Linked DNA regions of Mus musculus. The protein of the gene in region 1 purifies or fractionates together with the protein of each later gene. This does not show direct contact. Links are inferred from orthologs where the notes say so. Each region holds a gene or a part of one and is shown in the gene's direction. Other genes may lie near its edges. The genes, in order: Arhgef7, Nck2, Git2 and Pak2.

Region 1 (4,355 bases):
TAACGAGTAAATTTTTCAATTCAGCACTAGGGAAAGCTTCTTCCGGGTTGAGCAGCTTTGGTCGATAGACTCGGGCGTCGGTGATCAGTTTTGCATTGCCACTCTCTGGACCTCCACAGGGAAGCAAGATGGGAAACTGGCTGATGTGGGGCTCCTAGGGCAGGGTACCTCTCATATGTAACCAGGAAAATGGACAAAAAGTGAGGCTTGGGTCTGTCGGTGGTAAAGACACCGTAATTGCAGCAGTGGTTGGTTAGGGCTGGCTAGCGCTGCTCTGAAGGCAGCTGCCACCACAGAGAAGCTGGCCCTCAACAAACTTCACACTATTTTAATGCTTTGTTTGTGTCTGGAACAGAAATGTAGTCATTTAGCCAGAAGATGCTATTAAACGCAATCGATGGTGGTGATGGAAGCACCTGGAGAATGCAGAGAAGAGAGTCGAACCTGTGATCATTTTTTTGTTTTGTTTTTGTTTTTTGTTTTTAATTGACAGCATCGCATGGCTTCTAGCCTTGAGCAGTTACTGGATGAACGTGCGTGCCTGGCCCAGGGGAAAGGTCTCCTGGGACACTGCAAGCTTTATTTTAAACTGTCGAGGAGTGCCAGCCAGCAGGGAAAGCATAGGACCAGTGGCGGGAGTAAGTGGAAATATGTGTCGATTGACGGTGAGCCCTCACCTACTCCCCCCTTCCCCCAAGGCTCCTGTCACACATCCTTTGCGCTGGAAGAGGACGCCCAAGTTCTGGGCCTAAGCGTGGACAGCACGCTTTCCAGCGGACACCCACCCGAGGTTGCGATGTGCTCTTGATCGCTGGACACGTCACCGTCAATTTCACAAGGAGTCATGCAAGGCTTCTGGCTACTAAGGTCGTCCGCGCCCGCCGCCCCCCATCTCCGCTCCCGCCCCCCGCCTCCAGTGGCCTTGCAGCCAGCCGCTTAGCATCGCGCCCGCGTTCCCGACGCTCGTTCCTGCCCGAGTGAGACCCATCTGGTCACAGATCTAACGAGCATGTGCGTGCCATCCCCGCCGGCTGGCGAGGTGGCGAAGAGACGCCCGCGCCCCGCAGTCGGCGGGCTAGCTCAAGAGAGCATTCTGGGAAGCGCTTACTAATCGCGCGCCGCCCTACCCACAAAGGCGCGCAGCCCCGGGGCGCGCGGGCGGCGCAGGTGAGCGGGGGGCGCGCCAGCTGTCGTGCGCCGGGGCTGGCGCGGGGTGCGCGCGGGCGGCCGCCGCGTCTTTCTTCTCCGGTGATGTCATCGGGCGACGGCGGCCGCGGCCGGGGGGCGGCGGCGGGGGCGGTGCCGGGCGCCCGCAGGTTCCTGCGCCGCTAATGAAAAGGCACTTGACAGCGGGCCAGGGCGCGCGCGAGCCCGCGGAGCGGAGCGGGACCTGCTGGGCCGGCCGGGCCAATCGCCGGCGCGCGGCCGCCCATGGGCGCGGAGGCGGCGGGGGCGCGGGTGGCCGCGGCCCGGGCCGCTCCGAGGTGATCGCGCGCGGCGCCCCCTCTGTGCGCGCAGCCCGAGCCGCCGCAGCGATGAATTCTGCCGAGCAGACCGTTACGTGGCTCATCACCCTGGGCGTGCTGGAGTCGCCCAAGAAAACCATCTCGGACCCTGAGGTCTTCTTGCAGGCGTCGCTCAAGGACGGGGTGGTCCTATGCCGGCTGCTGGAGCGCCTGCTGCCCGGGACCATCGAGAAAGTAAGTGGCCATGGCACGGTCTTCGGGTGGGTCCCCGGCCCGGGCGGGCGGCGGGCGGCGGGGCGCGCGGGAGCACCTGGCGCGCGCCGGCTCGGGGCCCGCGCGCCCTCCTTTGTGCGCGGACCCGGCGGCGCGCAAGGCGCGGGGACCGGCGGCGGGAGTTCGGGGCGCCATTGTGTGCGGGGCGCCGGGAAGGGGACCCGCCCTGAGAGCACAGACAGCGGAGGGGGCCGCGGTGACGCTCGGGGCCGGCTCGGGGTCACGAGAAGGAGAGTTGGCTGTGCCGGCGGCGGTGGGGTTCTGCTCCACCCTAACGTGAAGTTGGGAGGTCGGCTTCGCCCCTCGCCGACACCGATCGGAAAACCTCGTCTCTGTGCCGCGCAGCTTTCTGCGATGGCTTTGTTTGAACGGTTTCGTCGCTGCCTTTGCAGTCTGACTCTTGCGTTGAATGGACCGGTGGCTGGGCATGTTTAAAGGATGCATCAAAAGCCAAGGGAGGGCCGAGCTGTGAAATGACTTACTGCCTTCCCCATCAAGGGATTCTTCACTCAGCCAAGCCTGCAGAACAGCGCACACAGGGTGCTGAAGCCCGATTTCTTTGGGGATGGGTCAGAATTTTTATCCTCACTGCCTGCTAGATTTGGAGCTGTCTGCCTGCTGCTGCTGGCTGCTGGCTCCCTGGCTCTGCAGTGTGAACCTTGACCACCGCTCTGGGTGACCAAAGTTTGTTTTCGTTTGTAAGCTCACAGAGCGGGCCGGGTCAGGGGTTGGGAGCACTTCTAAGAACAACCATGTTTTATAGGTCAAAAAATAATAAAGTCCTGTGTTCAAGATTATGCCAATACACAGTTTACAAGAAAACTTAAGATCCTTAGTAATTTAAAAGGTGTTAAGTACAGAAATGGAAGTGTCCCATAATTAGGAAGAAGTAACACTTCTTAATGGAGTACACACACACACACACACACACACACACACACATGCACATACACACAGACAGGCCCTAGGCAGGACACTCTGTTAATGCATATTAAGTGACCTGAAAAAGCAGAAATTCTAATTGTATTCATAAATTGGCATGCTGCAGTGTCAGAAAACATTTACCATGAGTTCCACATGCGTACCACAGGTTTTAGGTGTTTTCTTGAACATTGTATTGAAAACGACATGCATCTTAGAAGGACTAACTGATGTGGGAAACACTGTTTATAAGTGGGGCAGATCAATAAAGTTACAATTTTAAGATGCAACGACTGAAGAGAGCAGGGTGTGACTTGCCAGACACTGAGAAAACCCGGCTGTCCCCTGGCCATTGGTGATAATAAAAGACAGACGTCTGAGTGAGACACATGCTAAGGTTCTTAAAGATAACCCTGTTCTGTTTCTGAGGCAAAGCTGTAAAAAGATTCCTGTGCTATGTCAATGGACATGTTCCCATCCATGAACACGTCACGTGACATGTTTGCAGCGTTGATGTGGTCAGGCAAACTTCAAAAATTCATATTCTATTTTAAATTCTAGAAAGATCCCGTGAGGAAGTTGCAGCGCCTCTTTCATCTCTGACACAACACAGAGAGAGATGAATAAAAAGGGCTAGCCTCTGGCAGCTAGATTGGTCTCAAACATTCTGAAACTACAGTCGAGTGGAAATCTCTTGGGTCGGTGTTGTTTTAACTCTCTTTTTGAAGGCTGATGACCCTGTACAGATAGTCCCTGGCTCTTGAGTGAGGGGTATTTGTGGGGAGTAAACCATCAGCCACTGTCTGAAATTCTGGATTCCACGAGTTTGCATCTGCCATGAAGTCATCCGCACTTGGCAATGAATGCCTGCATGGAATCACATTTGTCTTGAAGCACATGTGTGGGGCAGCTTTTGCTTCCGTGCTGGAATGCCAGAGGGAGACCCTCTCTCCTTAAAAAGGAAATGCCTGGAAACAGAGCTGAACTTATGTGCGGCACGTGAAGGGTCTTAGCTGGACCCATTGCTACGTGGGCATGCTGACACTGGAGGGTTGTGAGCAGCGTAGGACTTCCCTTTCTCAAGTTCATGAGTTTAAAATGGAGTCCAGGCCTGGGAATGAGTGCCGAAGGAAGGCTTCCCATGTGTCTTTTATTAAGAGCACGTCCTGTTGTGTTTCACAACTGGGTTGGCTAGCGGGGACGGGACATTCCTTGAGCTCCAGCTCAGGCAAAGAAAATGGTGGGTTAGGGTCCCTTTCCTGAAGCCTCTGTGTTTACTTCTCTTTGGAGGCGAGAGGAGTGAGCTACAGACTGGTGGTAAGGGGTTCTGCTAACTGCTGCCTGCTGCCTGCCACGGCTCTTGGTTGCAGGAAAGAGGGAGGCTGGGATTGGCAAGTTTCCCCAGCTCTGGGGATCAAACTTTTGCCCTTTGATTGTTCTCTGAAGAGTCAGGCCTGAGCTGGTCCCATCCTGTTCCCTCCCTTTTCTGATCCCAAACCTGTCTTAGCCATCGGGTCCCTGAGCCTTGGCAGCACCATCCTTAGTAAACTCCTGCTTCAGACACTTCTAGGTTATTTTGTCCAAAGGAGGCACACCCTAGATGCAGGAATTTTAGAGGATAGAAAACCACCAAGCATAATCTGTGCTAAAATGCTGTTTTAATTTTACTCGTGGACGCAGTGTACAAAGTTGCTT
Region 2 (3,331 bases), on another chromosome or scaffold:
CAGGCTCCTATCTTGAAATGGCCAAGGGCAAACATGGGCTCTTTGTCTATAGAACTTGCCCACTCTATCAAACAACCCGCTGGGTTTTGTTAATTTCACATGGAGGCCCTGCTGGGAGAGAGGGCCAGCTACTGGTTCCCGATTAGCAGCAAGTTCCCAGGGATAGGAGCAAGCAGGAGCAGACTTAGAAGGGCCTGTCATGGGTGTGGACTTAACTGCTGCAGGGGAGGCCGGAGGGGCATCCCGACCCTGCCCAGGCAACTAGACTTTTGAGAATAGCCTGTAGAGAATGGCCAACCAGGGGACAAAGCACAATTCAGGGACACCATGAATGGGAGTGAGAAGGGTTGGGGTATGAGTCTCTTCCCTTCCTATGGAGCCACACTGCCTTTTTAGTGCCACAGAATGGTAAGTCCTCCTTTCCCCACCATAGGTGCCATATGCGGTGCAAGCAAGCCACTGCCACCCATAGCTCAGCCTCAGCTCCTTTGACTGTAGAGGTCTTTCCTAACTCCACCACAAGTGCTCAAACATATACGTACAGCATATGTACACTCACGCATACACAAACATACAAATGATTCACGCTCCCATTCACTCTTACATACAACTTTCACAAATGCACATATTCTTTCATACACACAAAGCACACACCTAAGTTGTGTCTACTCACAATCATGGCGTAACCTCCATACCCACCTTCCTTACTGGATGTTATTTAAAGTGGGTGGCTTAAGCATATGTGTAGGGCATAGGTTGCCTGGCACATAGTCAGCATTTAGTAAACATCAAATCAATTGATGCCTCTATTCAATAGCCTTCCTGTTGGCTTTCAGGAAATTAGCTAGATGACCAGTTTTATTTAAAACACTAGAATACCCCAAAATATACTCAATAAGTAAGGCACTGATCTCATCACAGAATTTAACCTTTTCTCACGGAAATTTGTTCTTTGAACCACTGCGGAGCCATCTGTGGGACATCACAAACTCTTTCAGATACACCCATGTTGTCCACTACCTTGACAGTATCTATTGTTAAAGAGCGTAAATTTTAATAGAAATCAGAAGAAACACTTCCAGTTTTCTGCCTGCATGAAAACCACTTTGAATAATTCCCAGTTTGTCAGAAGTAATTTGGGGAAATGGAAATCTCAGGTTTCTTCTGTCTTGAGGTTAACCCAGCTGTCATTCTCTCTGTAACGAGATCCTCCGTGTCAGAGACCCAGCGTGCTGTGCGTTTACCCCCGAATCCATGGAAGCAGAATTTCATTAGCGCTTGATTGTGAGCCTGAGAGCGCTGGGCTGCCAGTCAGTCTGCAGACACTGGGTGAACACTGTGCTTGTTAGGCAGACCCTGGTCTCCTCAGGTGCCTACCCTGCTGGTAACTCCCTTCTGCTTCCTCCTCAGCCCAGTGACTTCTCCGTGTCTCTCAAAGCGTCAGGGAGAAACAAGCACTTCAAGGTGCAGCTGGTGGACAGCGTCTACTGCATTGGGCAGCGGCGGTTCCACAGCATGGACGAGCTTGTGGAGCACTACAAGAAGGCCCCCATCTTCACCAGCGAGCACGGGGAGAAGCTCTACCTTGTCCGAGCCCTACAGTGAAAGCAGCCATTGGCCCCCTCATGCCCTGCCCACTGTGGGCCTCGCTGCCACCTCTGCCTCCCAGAGCCCAGCACTTCTGGCCACCTCCACCCATGTGGCTTGGATCACCTCTGTGGCCCAGTCTGTCCTTCTTTTCAGCCCTGTTGGTCAACCACGGCTACCTAGGCCCTCACAACCATGCCCCAGGCCACCACCTTCTGGTGATGAGGGTCAGAGGGAGCAAAGCTACTCACTTCTTTCCTTTCCAGCTGGAAACAGCCTGTTTGAATCCTTACACACACATACACAGAGAGGGAAGGGGGGTGCAGAGAGAGAGACTGACTAAAAGACTGGAGCTGCTTCAGAGGGTCGCGAGGCTGTATGTAGTGAATATGTGACCTTGGCACACACTCCGAGAGCTGTGTCCATGGGTGTTTGGTGCCTCTCGTCAGCATGCTGGTCCAGACCGGCAGCCTGTGTCCTGGGCCTGCTTTGCTTTGCTTTCTTTCTTTCTTTTTCTTTTTTTTTTTTTTCAATTTTATTTTTTAATTTTATTTTATTTTGGCTCCAGGCACTGCAGGAGTCCAAAACTGTGCGGATAGCAATACTGGAAACCCTGGGGAGATGGTGGTGAGAAAACTGCCCAGTGCCTTTGAGGCTGTACTTGCAATAAAAGAGGGTTTTGGTAAGAGTTGGTCTGCAAAAGAGGAAGGTGGCAACACAGAAAGAAAGGTACTCTGGTGATGTCCCCCAGGTGTGCCATCCACATCGTGCTTTTGCCCTTGGGCTTGTTTGAATTTCACAATTATGTATTTAATTCTCAAAGTAATATGTATCTGTAGCTGGTTGTTGACACTAATAACATGATTAAGGAAAACAGCTGATCTCTTGGGAAGGGGAGCTACCAATACTTTATACATACACTATATATATATATATAATATGTGTATATTATATATATATTATTTGCTTTACAGGGAAATTTTTCAGGGTTTACAAAAGAATATGTGATTAGTAGTAACAGAATGTTTATGAAGAAATTGCATTTTCATTTTTCTTTACATTTGAACTTCTTTATAGTTTGACTATAGAGTCTTGAGATGGCACATTCCTACAATTGAAGAAGGGGTCTTGGGATCCCCTAAACTTGCATACCCGGTTTTTTGAATATTGTAATAAAAAAAAGTATTATGACAAGGCTGTGTGTTTGTGTTTTGGGAGAGCTGACTCTCTTCTGGGGAAGGAACAGCTATAGGAGTCATGGGAAATTCCCCTCCAAAGGAAGATGACGTGCTGGATCCTGTGCCTGCTGTTAACCCAGCATGAGAACCCGAGTTCGGATACTTGGCACCCACAGAAAATTGGGCATTGGTCGTGTCTAATCCTAGCACTGAACACATCCCCAGGCCTGCTGCTGAGGCATTCGAATCAGTCCATGTGCACTGGGCTCAAAAGAACGATAGTAAGAGTGAAAGACACTTGGCCTCTGGATGCATGTGAACGTGTGCACATTCACACATCACTGGCACACAAATGAGAGCTCTCAGAGGACCTTAGCACACTGATTTCTCTACACCTTTTTGTCTTGTAGTATGTATGAGGCAGGGGCTTGTTGTTTGTGGAAGTCACGGAAGTTGGTTCTCCACTTTTATGTGGGATCTAGGGATCAAACCCTGGTCATCGGGCTTACAAAGCAAGCCCTTTGCTTGCTGAGCCATCTCAGCAGCCCCTGCTGTCCACATTCTGG
Region 3 (3,563 bases), on another chromosome or scaffold:
GCTATGCCTGGGCATTTGCTGTGAGGAAGGCAGGGGGAGGGAGGCAGGGGGACCATAACTTTGGATGCTCACCCAATTGAAGTTAGTGATTTCTCCAGTTGGAGTCCAGGGCTTGGAGCTTGACTCCGGGTGATGAGGTAGATGAAACCGAGCGCTCTGTCTGCTGGCCGCAGCGTTCTGGCAGTGCCGGGCCTGTGACACAGGGTTAGATGCTGCTTCCTCAGGGTGCCCAGTTGAGAAAGGTAAAGGGAAGAGAGGCGCTGGGAAGTTCAGGCGTTCTCTTATCAGCTCAGGCCTTTGACTCTGCTGCAGTGGAGTCCAGCTTTGCCCTTCTTACTGTCCAGTGGGGGGGGGGGGGTGTCACTTCCTCTTCTTACAGCACAAAGAATGAGAAATGTGTCAGAGCTGTTAAGTGAACTGTGTTCTTATTTGTTTCCAAACCAGCCCCAATAAAGCAGAATTCATCAGAGCCAAGTATCAGATGTTAGCGTTCGTCCACCGATTGCCCTGCCGCGAGGACGACAGCGTGACGGCCAAAGATCTCAGTAAGGTGGGCGCGCTCTGCCTTCTGTGGGGCCGTGAGATGGGCCGCTTCCCTTAAAGCCATGTCAGGAGGAAGAAGCAGCCTTTTGCAAGTGCCTTTGACTAACTGACCTTTCTCCCTTACACAGCATTCACTCCTCTCAGACACACTGGACAAAAGGAAAACACGCTTCTAAGAAACTGTATTTTTTTCCCCTTTTATTTTCATTTTCATTTAATTGATTAATTAATTTGTACTTTTTCGGTACAGTTTTCACATAGATTTTGATAAGTTCTTTACTTGAGAATAATAGCCATTTCAAAGAAGGTTTTCTAGAGAACCTAGCATCTGAAATAGAGCAGAGGAAGGAGGCTGACTGCTTCAGATGTCCAGGTTCAAGGCTGGAGGGCAAAGTGCACCTAGAGCTGTAGCACAGCCGTGTCTGTTACACCGCGAGCGGTGCCTTCTTGTGGGCCTTGGCTGTTTCTACGAGATGCCGTAAAAATGCACATCACAGTTTTTTGAGCGGTGCTTTGAACTAGATGCTCACTCAAGACAGCGTGTGCACAATTCAGAATACTAATTCTGCACAGATGTAAGTGATTTTCCTAGTGAGTAAATAGTTTCCTTTTTTTACCAAATAAAAAACATGGCCAGGTGTGGTGGCACACATCTTTTTTTAGTCCCCGGTATTCAGGAGGCAGAGACAGGCAGACAGCTGTGAATTCAAGGCCAGCTTGGTCTATATAGTGAGTTCCAGGTCAGCCTGGGCTACAGTGAGTCCTTGTGTAAAGGGTGTGTGTGTAAAAATAAGAAGAAGAATAAAAAGAAGAAGAGAGCGATGACTTGGGCTGGAGAGGTGGATCAGTGATTGAGCACACACTGTTCCTGCAGATGGCTCATGAGATGACTCACGGCACATCTAACGCCAGCTCCGGGGACCTGACACCCCCTTCTGGCCTCTGTTGGCACCTGCACTCAGTGTACATTGATGTACGCATACATACAATTAAAAATAAAATTAAAAAAAAAAAACAAAGACTGGTTCCGTAGGACTCATCTGCCCTGTGAGCCAGTCAGGACAGTTGTAGAGTAGCCCTGAAGGAGAGAGCCATTTGTTCTTTGGGAGTTTAAAAGCGTTTCTGTGATGATACGGATTTAGTGTGCACAGGCCCACTTCCCACTGAGCGCAGCCTGGCAGAATCGCTGTGTGGACAAACAGCACAGACTTGAGCAGGTGGCCAGCGTGTGCCGCGGGTGGCTGGAGCCGCTGGGATCCGCGCTGTGGCAGCAGCTGAAGACTGATAGATGCTGTGGCAGCAGCTGAGTTTTGAATTATTTCCTGTCTCCTTCAGTACACACCATAACCCTCCTGGTAGAGGGCACCGTAGCACCCAGGTTCCTCTGCTCAGAGATTTTCTCAGAACACACAGCTGGAGGGAGGTAGACCTTGAAATCCAACCACACACACACACACACACACACACACACACACACACCACCTCCTGGTCAAGTGCTTCTTGCTGGGTTTATGGTTGTACCTCTTACTGGCAAGTCCTGCGTCTGGGCAGATTGGCCTTGGCAGTCCAAGCTCCTTGTTGTTAAACTGACAGACCCACCTGCAGCCTGAAGCCATTGTAAACAGCAAAGAACCCACCAACCCACCCACCCACCCATCCCAGCCATCTTCCTGAGCCAAACAAGACCCGTTACTGGTGTAAAGTGTGTTAGAGTGCGCGGCCAGCAGCTCGGGCACATCTCTCCTGACACTTCTGACAAGTACTCTGTTTCTGTTTGTTTTTCAGCAACTCCATTCAAGTGTGAGAACAGGGAATCTTGAGACCTGTCTGAGACTGTTGTCTTTAGGAGCCCAAGCCAACTTCTTTCATCCTGTACGAAAATGTCAATTATTCAGATATTAAACGGAAGCTGAGTTATGTTTGGATAGTCCAGGTCTGCTCAGTTTGTTCTTTTTGTCTACTTCTTATTAATAATTCTTAGGAAAAAGGAAGCACTCCACTCCACGTCGCCTCCAAAGCAGGACAGATCTTACAGGCTGAATTGCTGGCCGTGTATGGAGCTGACCCAGGCACACAAGATTCTAGTGGGAAGACTCCTGTTGACTATGCAAGGTGAGAGGCTGAGGTTCTCACTGCACTGCGTGCTGAACGTTTCTTTTTTTCCTTGCTAAGCGACTACTCTGGGTATGGCTTGTGTTTAGCCCCTTTAAAGACTTCCATTCTATTATTTTGTTGATGAAGATGTTTCAAATGTGTGTCAGCTGAGACAGACAAGATGAAAGGACTGCCGAGTCCTAGCTGGTGTGGTTAACACCCGGTCATCATAGCACAGTGGTTTTCAGGTTATAGCATACAGATCAGGGATCAGGAACTGGGAGGGGGTGGCTAGAGAGTGGGCTCAGTGGTTCAGATTGCCATCTGCTCTGCAGAGAACTGGGGTTCAGGGTTCAGTTTCCAGAACCACGGTGCCTCATCTGTACCTCCAATTTCAGGAGATCCAGCACTCTCTTCTGACCTCCAAGGGCACCAGGCACACACACGGTACACTTATGAGCAGACAACATTGTATACGTAAAAGTCAATACATCTTAATTTTTAAAATTAAATAATTAAAGAAGGCTAGGGAAATGGCACACTGAGTGGTGTGCTTCCCTATAAGCATGAAGAACAGAACTGGGTTGGAAACGGCACAGGGCCGCAGCCCTGGCCTGCCTGCTGTCTGTGGGCAAGGTTAAGACAGGCAGATCTTGGACAAGCCTGTTACTGTGTTCTCCTAAGTATCTGGAGCTGCATGAGGGGACTTCATGGGGCCTAATCAATGTTAAAACCTGCAGATTTAACTGATGAAAGATGGATAGCTTTCCTTGTTTTCCCTGTTATTTTATTAACTATGAAGGATCACATTCTGTCATAAAGAATGCAATGGGAAATGACAAAAGTCTGTCCTAGAGTCCTAGAACTTACTTCTCTGGAAGAGATGATTAATAAATTCTTGAAAAGTTTGAGGCAAGATTATATAT
Region 4 (4,150 bases), on another chromosome or scaffold:
TGTAGACCAGGCTGGCCTCGAACTCAGAAATTCGCCTGCCTCTGCCTCCCAAGTGCTAGGATTAAAGGAGTATGCCACCTCGCCCAACTACTACAGTACTTTCTAATATACCCATCTTACACCAAGGTGCAGCTACATAAGTCTTGTGGTTTTGGTTGTGAGCCTAGCCTTCATCTCTCACTGACCGTGGCAATCCTCTTCCTACTTGTAATCCTTTCCCCTCAGTTCTTCCGAGTTCCTTTTTCTGTTTTAACTGCCACCTTCTCTGTCCACTCTGTCCACGGTAATCCCTCAGCTTTTTCCCCACCTTGTAACAGGTATCAGTGTTTTGGTTTTTATGTTTTCATACGTTTTTTTGGTTGTTTTTTTTCTGAGACAGGGTTTCTCTGTATAGCCCTGGCTTTCCTGGAACTCACTCTGTAGACCAGTCTGGCCTCGAACTCAGAAATCTGCCTGCCTCTGCCTCCCGAGTTCTGGGATTAAAGGCGTGCGCCACCACCGTTTTCATGTTTTTAACCTTTACAAAGACTAGGTGAAGCATGTTCATTTCTGGTACCTAAATGGTCTTTTGTAGATATTAGATATTGACATAGTTGTGGAATAAGAATACATGAATTAACTCCTCCATTGATAAAATACAGAAAAATAAAAAAATCTTTGTTTTGCAAAGAGGGAGGACCTAATTTAGCAGCATAATCTGATTCAACTTAATCTGGTTAAATTTGTAGGAAAAAAAAAAGCGGTGGCGTCGCATTCCTTTAATCGAGGCCAGCCTGGTCTTCAAAGTGAGTTCCAGGACAGCCAGGGCTATACAGAGAAACCCTGCCTCCAAAAAACCAAACCAAACCAAACCAAACCAAAAAACAAAGTGAGCTGGGCAGTACCTCTTCAGGAGGCAGAAGCAGGAGGATCTCTAGTTCAAAGTCAGCCTGGACTACAGAGTGAGTTCCAGGACAGCCAGGACTCGAAAAGCCATCCCTCCCCACAAAACACCAATTGGTGAATGGATACATTCTCAGAAACAAAGACCCTCTACACACAAATATGTTTGGATCAGCTGTTCTCCGTCAGCTTTGTCAGTAGGTAAACCGTAACTGCAGACAATGCAGAATGCTGATAAATGAGGGACAGGTTTTCTCTGTAACGCCCACTGTCCTGAGTCTCCCTAACAGATGACTAGACTACGGTTCCCAGCCGCCCTGTGAAAGCCCGCCCCTCGGGTCATGACGCCACTTTCAGGGCGGGGCTGTCTTACGGCCCCGCCCCGCGCCCCCGCCGCCGCCCTCCCCCAGGGTTGTGGCCACGCGCAGCGGCAGCGGTTGTTCCGCTTCCCCTCCGGCCCGGGCCGTCGCCATTGCCGAAGGCTCCTGCCCTCCCCTCCCTGGCCCAAGGGGTTCTGCGCCTCACGGCCTCGGTAGCGACGGCCGCGCCCCGCGCCGCTCCCCTCCGCCCTGCCCTCCTCCCTCTCAGCGCCCCAGCGCAGTGCTCGCCCGCGTCGGCCAAGCAGCCCGCCCTGGGTCGGGCGGAGACCTTTCCTCTCTGGTAAGTGCGGTTGCCGCTCGCCCGGGCCGGGCCGGGCCGGGCCGAGCCGCCGCCCTCCTCCCGCCTCCGCGGCCTGGGCCCAGCGGCCCGGGACGCCAGCACCTGCGGGCGGGCCCGCGGCTCCGGGCGGTGGCTCATTGTCTGCGCCCTGGCTCTAAGCTTCGGCCGAGAGGAAGCTTGCTGGGCTGTGGGGACCCTGGCCACTCCGGCCGTCCTTGCCCTTCTCTCCCGCCGGCGCTGCACCGGACGACTCGGGTTTGTTCCTGGATGTTCCCTCCTTTACCAGCTGCGTTCTCTGCAGTCTCGTCGCTCGGGAATCCTGTCGCGAGCTCCTTAAGTTCAGTGTGTAAACTCTTCCTCCTCCTCCACATTAGGAAAAAGTTTTTGCCGGGCTCTGGGAGCCTGCGTTTAAGAACAGAAGTTAAGGATCTTACGGTTTTTGCTTGATCTTTAGCCAGGAGGTGAATATTTGCTTCTTAAGGTTAACTTGGGCTGAGGTTGGCTTTTCACCATGTTTGGCTGTCTGAAACACGCGCGCCCTCACAAGAAAAAAAAAAAGTTGCTGCAAATAACTTAATGGACTCAGCCTTTTGATTAGTTCTAGATCAAGTCGTCCAAGACAGAAGTGTGTTAAATAATTGCCATTGTGGCTTGATGGGAAGGAGGCTCTCTCCATCCCCTGTCTTAATAGAACTAGGTAGAGTGGAAGTGAGATTTGTTTCCTCTTTGACAAATCACCAACTCCCATCGATAGCCGCCAGGTTCTTCTTTACAAGTGACCTGTAGATTTTCCAGCTTTTCGTTTCTAACCTTTTAAAAAAAGACAACCAAACCGGTTAGGCCCAAAATTAGACAACGACGAGCTGAGCTGTGTTTTGGGTGAAGGTTGTGCACGTCACGTTTTTCCCCTGCTGTATTCGACTCTTCCGCTCTTATAAAGTAGGCAGGATATTGAAATAAATACACAAGAATTTGCTCTGGGGATTTTTTTTTTTTTTTTTTTGGTAGAGCTATCCAAAAGAATAGTATGAATAAAATTAGGTTGGGATGAAGGCAGTGAGTAGTAATTTTTAAAACAGGTTAGGGCACGTCAACTTTGCCAGAAGCTCTGTGGCATTTGTAGAACATTCTTGCTTGTCTCTACCCCAGTTCTTCAGTTGGGGTGTGTGTGTGTGTGTGTGAAGGAAGCCTTTTTCGTATACTTTTATACCCATCCTCTGCCTTTCCTAGACAGGGCCTCATTCCAGCTCAGGCTGTTGTGACACTCTTCCTGTCTCAGCCTTGTGTGCTGGGATTACACGTGTTAGCCAACATATTTGGTAGCCTCTCTTTTTAGGTCTTTCTAGAGATTAATTAGCCAGGAACACTATTGTACATTTACATCAGGGAAACTGAATTTTATATTGTTGCTTAGATAGATAGAAAATGTAACTTTTGGGTTTTGGTAAAAGAGGTTGCCCAAAATTAAAAATGTTTTCTTCTTGTTTTCACTAGTACATTATTACCTTTCCCTCTGCCAGGCTATGGGGGAAATGGATTAGTATCAAGTACTGCCATCCTTTGGTACTGTGGGTTGTTCTTAGGTTAGTGAGTTGTCTTGACACTAGGGAGGAATGTCAGGGAATGAAAAAGTACCTTGAAGTTAGTTTCTGCTGTTTCTTTCTCCTTTTTAACCCCTTGTACCGGATTGAACCGCAGACCTCCCTGTGATGCTAGGCAAGTGTTCTTTGCAGCACTGAGTTACAAGCCCAGCCCTCTCTTCTCTGTGCAGACAGTCTCACTGTTTCCCAGGCTGGTATTGAATCTCTTCCCTACCAGGTAAGCCTTGAACTGGGGTTTTCTTCTCAACCTCCCTAGTAGCTGGGATTGCAAGCCTGTGCCTGCAGAATATCTCATTTGTTTCCAAAAGCAGGTATTTGTTTGTTTTTCTTTGGAGACAGCCTCTTTCTATGATACCCAGGTTTGTTTCAAACTTCTGGACTTAAGATCTGCGTCAGAATCCTAGCCAGTGAGATTACCATTGTGTTGGGCAAGCAGACATGTTTTTAAAAAGAGAATTCTTGGGTATTTCACTTATCTTGGGGCCTTGATTCCAGATTTACCTTTTGAGAGAAAGAGATTAATTCTTCTGGGCTTTGTGATCCGTGTCCTGAAACCTAAATTCATGAAGTGATAGTTTTTAGTTGATATATGTCTGATAAAAGGTTCTCGTGTTTCTTTGATTTTTATGATAGGCAAGTTTCCAACTAGACATGATGAAGGCTAGTTTTACGTGTTTTAAATGAGGAAATTTAAAACTTGTTCTGGTTAGCTAAAGATAAACTCTGAGTTATACTTTTACAAAATGCAGGAGCTTGAAATAATTGCCAAGTATAAAACTAGTAGCTATGGCTGAATCCTTACTATCTTCATCAGTATTGGTTATTACAGTAATAATGTTCCGTACTCGGTGCTTTCAGTTTTCTGGCTTTGGTTCAAATTGGACTGTGTTCCAGTCTTGAGACTAGGTCAGGCCTTTCTCTCCTCAAGCACTGCTAGTTACAGAAGTAACTGATGGTTGTCTGATTAGAGGGGAGTTGCTACTTGCAGACTGTGCTTCTGAGTTCTC

What was found.
Region 2: the proteins of Arhgef7 (region 1) and Nck2 purify together in Homo sapiens (affinity purification with mass spectrometry; 3 studies listed by BioGRID and IntAct, counting the BioPlex papers as one, with this or other methods). This does not show direct contact. The link is inferred for Mus musculus from reciprocal best matches to the Homo sapiens genes ARHGEF7 and NCK2.
Region 3: the proteins of Arhgef7 (region 1) and Git2 purify together in Homo sapiens (affinity purification with mass spectrometry; 6 studies listed by BioGRID and IntAct, counting the BioPlex papers as one, with this or other methods). This does not show direct contact. The link is inferred for Mus musculus from reciprocal best matches to the Homo sapiens genes ARHGEF7 and GIT2.
Region 4: the proteins of Arhgef7 (region 1) and Pak2 purify together in Homo sapiens (co-immunoprecipitation; 5 studies listed by BioGRID and IntAct, with this or other methods). This does not show direct contact. The link is inferred for Mus musculus from reciprocal best matches to the Homo sapiens genes ARHGEF7 and PAK2.

What each region holds. Positions count from the first base shown.
Region 1 is NC_000074.6:11,726,717-11,731,071, forward strand, and holds the start of Arhgef7 (rho guanine nucleotide exchange factor 7), read left to right. Parts: upstream 1-1,535; coding exon 1,536-1,700; intron 1,701-4,355. UniProt on the Homo sapiens protein: Acts as a RAC1 guanine nucleotide exchange factor (GEF) and can induce membrane ruffling. Functions in cell migration, attachment and cell spreading. Promotes targeting of RAC1 to focal adhesions. May function as a positive regulator of apoptosis.
Region 2 is NC_000067.6:43,567,738-43,571,068, forward strand, and holds the end of Nck2 (cytoplasmic protein NCK2), read left to right. Parts: intron 1-1,410; coding exon 1,411-1,605; 3' UTR 1,606-2,781; downstream 2,782-3,331. UniProt on the Homo sapiens protein: Adapter protein which associates with tyrosine-phosphorylated growth factor receptors or their cellular substrates. Maintains low levels of EIF2S1 phosphorylation by promoting its dephosphorylation by PP1.
Region 3 is NC_000071.6:114,763,439-114,767,001, reverse strand, and holds part of Git2 (ARF GTPase-activating protein GIT2), read left to right. Parts: intron 1-444; coding exon 445-550; intron 551-2,328; coding exon 2,329-2,415; intron 2,416-2,524; coding exon 2,525-2,655; intron 2,656-3,563. UniProt on the Homo sapiens protein: GTPase-activating protein for ADP ribosylation factor family members, including ARF1.
Region 4 is NC_000082.6:32,076,480-32,080,629, reverse strand, and holds the start of Pak2 (serine/threonine-protein kinase PAK 2), read left to right. Parts: upstream 1-1,287; 5' UTR 1,288-1,542; intron 1,543-1,578; exon of another isoform or gene 1,579-1,797; intron 1,798-4,150. UniProt on the Homo sapiens protein: Serine/threonine protein kinase that plays a role in a variety of different signaling pathways including cytoskeleton regulation, cell motility, cell cycle progression, apoptosis or proliferation.